Arabidopsis thaliana: one gene and its partner. The protein of the gene in region 1 interacts with the protein of each later gene in a pairwise test. Each region holds a gene or a part of one and is shown in the gene's direction. Other genes may lie near its edges. The genes, in order: RHD6 and AT3G55240.

Region 1 (3,942 bases):
AAAAATCCTCAAAATGATTTAAAAAAGGAATAAAAAAGAACGTTATTTCAATAAAGACGGATTGTACAAAACATAAATTAGTATCGAACTAGTTTGAATTTTATTTCTACCAAAAAAAAAAAGGTTTTAGCATGTTTTGGTCTCTAAACCCAAAGAATGGGCCGAATGTCCAAAACTTCAACAAAAAAAAAAGATTATATACAAAGATATTAACGAAGATAAAATAAATAAAACAAGTTAGCCTAAAACAACTATATTATGGAGTATATTACTTATAAGTCGACGTGTCGGCTAAAGAAATGAAAGTAAGAAGCAGGTTCTTAGGAAAAATGAATCATCGAAACAAAATAAACAATGAAAATGAATCATCGAAAGAATTGATATATATTAGAATCGATCATATATATGGGAATCAAAAAGACGTGTAGATTAGCGGAAGATACGGCGATGATTTTGCTTCTATGTTTTTCGCTTCTCTTAATTAATAAACTATTTTTGGGGTTATAAAGTCTCAGTCCATTAATTTCACCTTACTGCCAGCTAACAATCCCGATGAATTACTCATAAATATTGTAATACAACAATTACTCATAAATATTGTAATACAACACTTTAATTTACGTTCATTCATTTTTTTTATCACTCCAAAAAGATAATGATGTATTTGATATGCGATCCATATTTTTCCCCGACGTCAAGATTTTTTCTATGCCATTTTTTAAAATGAGTTCTTATTATTTACATTGTTGATCATGTGGTTTTACAGTGCCACATTAGTTGCTAAAATTATATACAATACAAATAACTTATATAATTTTTCCTCACCAGTATTAGTGGTCTATGTTTGGAGTATTTTTTATATAACATATATGGTACCGACTCGATTCAATTGATTAAATACCATAAAAGATAATTCTGTCTATAGACAATCTTTTACAATATTCTTTTTTTAAAAAAAAAAATACCTTAATTTGGGTTCATTTGAGTTTAACAAATTAAAAGTGAAAAAGAACTAATGAAAACTCAGTATTCTTACTACAATTTTCAATAAATATCGAAATTTATAATTAATTAATACTTAATTTACATTTTTCATATTTATATTTATCCATTCAGTTAATTGAAAATTAAAAATAAAATAATAATGTGAATATGTTTTATTGGTTAAATAAAAATGTAGTAGATTTTACGATATATTAAACATACAACTTTTTTTTGGTTAAGAACTATTGTATAGAGTAAGGTTTCAAATAATAACAATGGAACAAATTTTTTGTCCAAAAAAAAAAAAAATGGAACAAATTTAACTGTGAGAAAATAGTGGGATAGAAGCAAATAATGGAACCAGTGCAGTTAGTACGAAATGAAAGAATATGTGGAAGTATCATAAATATGTAAAATTTAAAAGTTAGAATACCAAAATTTTAGCTATCTTTTTAAAGAGGATCTAAAAAGTATCAGAAAACATGTAAGGTTGTGTTTATTAGAACTATTCATCTAGTAGAAAAGTGATTGTCATTATCTTCAAGTATCACATTAAAAAAAAAAAAAAAAATGTTGTGTAGTGTCTGTCGATGAACATCGGAGTAAAATGGATGTCATTATCTTGAAAGAACTAAGAAATATGAGTGTCCATAGGCAGAGTAACAAGTTGTTACTAACAACATTACAAGGAGACAATGACTACAAAAAAACAAAACAAATACAAGCATTTTTAGTAACCATACGTTTTAGGCATGCTAGTCCAATATTCCCAGTTAAGGAAATGTACAAAAAATAACATATGTCTAGCTAGAATTCTATGCATTCATAACTTCGAAGCTTCAAACTGATAAGAGTTTAAAAAATGACGTAAAATATTGAATTTGATCTAATGCCAGCTTCTTTTTCTAATCAGTTTAATCAAACTCAATAAATTAAAAAAAAATCTTAAGAATACGTCACTAGCTTAAATAAAATATTAGACATAAACCACTTATATAAACCTTTATCATAACATAACTACACAAACACATTGTCTCTCTTTGCTTACCAATAGACAACCTTAAAGCCACTTTTCGTCAACAAGACACACAAAAACCCTAAACAAAAAATCACTTATCAAACTTATTAGTGTCTAATGGCACTCGTTAATGACCATCCCAACGAGACCAATTACTTGTCAAAACAAAATTCCTCCTCTTCCGAAGATCTCTCCTCGCCGGGACTGGATCAGCCAGATGCAGCTTATGCCGGTGGAGGAGGAGGAGGAGGCTCGGCTTCGAGCAGTAGCACGATGAATTCAGATCATCAACAACATCAGGGGTTTGTATTTTACCCATCCGGTGAAGATCATCACAACTCTTTGATGGATTTCAACGGATCATCATTTCTTAACTTTGATCATCACGAGAGCTTTCCTCCTCCAGCCATAAGCTGTGGTGGTAGTAGCGGTGGGGGCGGCTTCTCCTTCTTGGAGGGCAACAACATGAGCTACGGCTTCACAAACTGGAATCATCAACATCATATGGATATTATTAGCCCTAGATCCACCGAAACTCCCCAAGGCCAGAAAGACTGGTTATATTCTGATTCAACTGTTGTAACCACTGGTTCTAGAAACGAGTCTCTTTCGCCTAAATCCGCTGGAAACAAACGTTCTCACACGGTAATTACAAACAACAAAGTCTTGGTGAATATTTTTCATATAAGATGTCAATGAAAGATCGTTGATATATACTACTATCAATTTGAATTATGGATATATAGGGAGAGAGCACTCAACCGTCGAAGAAACTGAGTAGCGGTGTGACCGGAAAGACCAAGCCTAAGCCAACAACTTCACCTAAAGATCCACAAAGCCTAGCAGCCAAGGTTTGCTTTCTTGACATTAATTTACATTCATTAAAATAAAACTCAATCTCTCAACACATATTTACATATGTTTTATTTTGTTCAGAATCGAAGAGAAAGGATAAGTGAACGTCTCAAGATATTGCAAGAACTTGTTCCCAATGGCACCAAGGTACACATCCATATAACCATTTATGACAGATTTATTATATTACTTATTCTCATGATAATAATATTTGTTATGTTTCACAGGTTGATTTGGTGACAATGCTTGAAAAGGCTATTAGTTATGTCAAGTTCCTTCAAGTACAAGTTAAGGTATATTAGTTATGACAAACATCCCTCAAATTAATTTTCAGGATTGATTTAATTACCATATTTATCGAATTATTACGTAACACGTATTGATATAATCTATTGTTTGTTAGGTATTAGCGACCGATGAGTTTTGGCCGGCTCAAGGAGGAAAAGCTCCTGACATTTCTCAAGTTAAAGACGCCATTGATGCCATTCTCTCCTCATCACAACGAGACAGGAATTCGAATCTGATCACCAATTAATGAAGGGTTTTATCATTAATAAATCAGTTTATCAAACATTAATTACGTACGTTGTAATAATATCGGGGGAAACAATGATTCTCTCGATTATAAATCCCACGTAAATTTTGAAATATGATCCAAAGAGAAGACAATCGAGATTATGTAACGTTAGATTATGTGAAAATCGAGAAGTTCTTAATGCATCTATAACGAAGAGAAGACAAGAGACATTGAATTCACCGATGATCAGTCTGATATGGGTCCACACGGGGATGGAATCTTTAACTAGTAAATAAGTGTTAAAAACATAAATATGTTTTTCAATTTCTTTTTCTGTTTTAATTGTATTTTGTGTGTTTTAGTCTACGGAATACAGATCTTTTATTTAAACTCCAAGAAATGAGTAATAAAATTCTTCACTTTTGTTTTTTCCTTGAGGTTTCAGTTTCAGAGAATCTATCTTTTTGTCATCTTTCTTTGTCTATTTGAGCTTGGCTTTATTAAAGCTAGCTCTTGAGCGACATGCTTATTTATTTAAAATTCGTCAAAAGTTTGTCACACATATTAT
Region 2 (3,942 bases), on another chromosome or scaffold:
AAAGTAGTTATGATGTGCCTTAATTTATTTGGTAGAAAAGTTAAAAACTGAAAGTTCATATTTAACTGAATGCGCTTTAGAAGTAAAATCCGGTATACTATACGTATATGATTATCTCTAAGCCAAAAGAATATAAGTATGAACACAGAGAAAATAGAACAATGAACAGACAGAAGAAAATAGAGTAAACTCCGTAGTAATTTTTATGTAATATATACGTTACTCGTTACAATACATACACTATTTTCTTGTAACACATAAACCGTTTTCAAATTCCTTATAAATGAAATATACGCTCATTATAACTACATAATCACTCATACGGATTCGAATGAACTTTGATAGCATGATCTTAAGAGCTGGATAAGGAAGTATCTTAGGTAAAAGAAATAAGTGGATGAGAGAGAATAGGCGTCTTGGTTTGTAATCTTGTTGACGAGGAGAGGGAATGAGAGAGAAAGTGATCATGAATAGGGTTTGAATTTGATTCGAGGGAATAGTTGCTGTTTCAGGACTCAAATTGAGAGGTCCACATGATGAGGAATATGTGTAGTTTTATTTAATGTCTGAATTTGATGGATCCTTCTGAAACCTTTGATTTCGACAAAACACCCACAATGTGTTTGTCTCTCACTTCTTTACGTAACCTTTGTAGATTCTCTCACTCTCTCTCATGTCCATTTGCGCCACGTCACTCAGATGGTTGTACCATTTGCGATTATTTGATCTCAATGTGGATTGTTATACGTGACATGTCATCGTCCTATTGGTTTAGAATCAAAAACTTTAATCTCCCGCGTCCCCTTACCCAACCAAAAAACTATTGATGATCACTTTGCCTTTTTTTTGGCCGTCCATTATTGTAACGTATACTACACTTGTCATGGTGGTACGACTATACCCAAATTAATACTTTGAGGAGTCAATTACGTAGATGATTAAATTATGAATATTATCTGGAAGAGATCGACGACATTTGGTTGGTGTAATCAACTTTTTCGGGGGTTTGTGTCATTCATAAATAACAAAAATTTCAGAAGAAAAAGAACTAAGTTAATCATTAGACAGAAATTTCAATAGCGTAACTTCAAAAAACTAATTATAAAAAAACAAAATCAACTGTGTAACTTACGTCAGATGTAATGTTTATTAGATGTAATAGGTTCCACTAATCCATATCAATATTATCATTTATGAGATGGAGTGGGATTTTGTCTTTTATGCTACATTAACAAGTACATGATAATTTCTGGGTTTCTTTTACCGGTCTTAATATTAATAAACATGTTGGTATGCATGGTTAAGAGTTAGGACTTAATTAGGAGGAGGCTCATACATATATGACAGAACTGAAAAATTCAGTAGCAAACATTTATCTATAACATGTCGTGTAAATTACGTTGGTTCTTTTTACGACAGAGGTTTACTAATGTATATGGATTATCTCATACTCATAATATGTAGTTACAATATATATATATATATATATATATATATATATATATTATAACTTTTTTGAATCTAGATTATATTCAAAGAAAAAAGAAACATTTATACATGTGAATGCAAAATGCAAACTTTTTAAAAAACAAATTACAAAGATTTTCTATCCTTAATGTTGCTCGATGCAAACCACGTTTGGATCTCATCCGCATATTTCTTCACTTCTCCTTTTCTTAAAGTGCTCAAGTGATTTCAAATGTTCTTATCAATCAACTTACCAGTTATATATTTTATATGCATGGTATTCCCTATTTAAACAAGTTCAACATTCCTTTAACAAAAAGAAAAAGAAAAAGGAAAACAAGTTCATGCCTCTCTTGCCTCACCTTAAGAGTAGACGTACCGATGTTCAGGGGCGACCTAGGCCTCTAATACGTCTTCTTATGATATTTCAATTGTCAAATCGATGGTCACACAACGGTAGTCATCGTAGATATACATTTGATATGTTTGTTACAACAGTTATCTTTTCTTTATTAATGGTAAGCCTTAACATAAGTGTTAAGACTTATGATTATATGCCTTGTATATTTCGCACTATGGTTTTATATTGTTTCAAAAGGAATTCGGTGAGTTACAATTGTTGAAGTCATTATTTTATTTGCCATTTTTTAAAGTATCAATCCTTTAAAATTCCGAATTTATCGTTTACTCTCCTTTTATGTAATCATGTGCTCTTAGAGCCAATACAACTAACTTTCATTTTCTTATATAAGTTAAAACATTAACAAATAGGTATAGATTTAATTTCTAGAAGATTATGGAAATTAAAACACGACTAAGTGTTTTTTTGCAGAAAATGTATAGAGAGAGAGGGGCCATGGATCACGTGGAGGATGCGTGAGATGGAAATGAAAAAACGAAGGGAGAAGAGAGAAAGAGTGATTTTACAAATCTCCTCTAATCCTTTCTCAGCCAATTATGATCAATCTCCCACGTGGGGCTTCTGGCCCCATGCATGCATATCATCTTTCAACTATTCACTCTTTTGTCTCCTTCTTCATCTTTTTGCGTGATCTTCTTCTATATATGGCTGTCTTTATCTCCACAAGTGGCTTTTAGAAAGAAGACTCTCTTTTAAGTTTGGGTGTTAATTCTAGGGTTTCCATTAACAATGGCAGATTCTTCTTCTGCTTCTTACATTCACATGGTAATATTATATTGATTCAAGAACCTCATGTACTTCTCCGGCCGTCGATTCTATGAATGATCTTATCTATTTATCTTTTACGTATGTACCTCAATATCTTTGGATGTGTGTATGTATGTATAGGTGCAGCACATGATAGAGAAATGTTTGATCTTCCATATGAGCAAAGAAGAGTGTGTGGAAGCTCTCTCTAAGCATGCAAACATCACTCCTGTCATCACCTCTACTGGTTTTAATTCCTCTCTCTCTCTCTCCTCTTTTTTAATACTTTTTACCTTTCCGTAATCCTTATAAACACACAAACATATCTGTACCTATGTACTCTCTAACGGGATTAATTATATGTATAAATTATGGAGCTATCATCATATTATGATACCATCATTTAGAATTTGATCATGTAATATGTACTTAATTAGCTACAGATAGGATCTAGCGTGATGGATCGATCTTCAATATTTCTATTCATATAAGTGCTCATGCATAATCAAATTAATGATTATATACACTGACTTGACTACCTGGCGACTAGAACTTATACATATACAAAAAAAGCCAAAGAAAATATAAAAATCCTTGCAACATATATATCCGGCCTATATATTTTGTTATCATAATATTAATGAATTGGAACAAAATAAATGACAGTGTGGAAGGAGCTGGAGAAAGAGAACAAGGAATTCTTCAAGGCGTATGAGGAGAGGCAAAGCAAACAAGAGCAAATGTCGGAGGAAGAGACAAACCAGATGATCCAGAAGATTATCTCGGATTCATCTAAAGAATCCGACGACTGATCGCGATGTTCGATCGTTAGATTTCGAAAACCTTATAGTTTATATATATGAATCTCATGAAAACGATTTATCCCTGACGCATGCATGTTTATAAGTAAATCGTTTTTTCATCTTAGCATCGGTCCAACAAGCAAGACAGCAAAAAAAGGAGTGATGACACTCTTTTTGGTACGTTATACGTACGTGGTCCACATAATATTGCCTCTGTTTAATTATATATAATGAAACGGACGCTAGCTCATACATGGATCGATGGTGTGGTGTTTTAATTGAATGTATCGTGTGTATATATTTTCAAATAAACTATTTATTTCGGGTTTTGGTCACCTTAAAAGGCTTTAGCACTCTTGGAAATTTTGTATCATGGTTTCCATATGCTTGCAAGTTTCGGAACCCAAAAGTCCAGATTTTAGCCAGATCAGTAAAAACGTTGATCAGCTGTTTTTTGGTCCATGATCGGCTGTTTTTTTTTTGGGGAACGTCTATGCAGCCATT

The links.
Region 2: the proteins of RHD6 (region 1) and AT3G55240 interact in a two-hybrid assay, tested with the Arabidopsis thaliana proteins (one large-scale study listed by BioGRID).

The regions. Positions count from the first base shown.
Region 1 is NC_003070.9:24,793,207-24,797,148, forward strand, and holds RHD6 (ROOT HAIR DEFECTIVE6), read left to right. Parts: upstream 1-2,007; 5' UTR 2,008-2,119; coding exon 2,120-2,647; intron 2,648-2,748; coding exon 2,749-2,853; intron 2,854-2,938; coding exon 2,939-3,004; intron 3,005-3,084; coding exon 3,085-3,150; intron 3,151-3,260; coding exon 3,261-3,392; 3' UTR 3,393-3,809; downstream 3,810-3,942. UniProt on the Arabidopsis thaliana protein: Transcription factor that is specifically required for the development of root hairs. Acts with RSL1 to positively regulate root hair development. Acts downstream of genes that regulate epidermal pattern formation, such as GL2.
Region 2 is NC_003074.8:20,473,381-20,477,322, reverse strand, and holds the start of AT3G55240 (Plant protein 1589 of unknown function), read left to right. Parts: upstream 1-1,990; 5' UTR 1,991-2,617; coding exon 2,618-2,653; intron 2,654-2,776; coding exon 2,777-2,882; intron 2,883-3,301; coding exon 3,302-3,447; 3' UTR 3,448-3,942.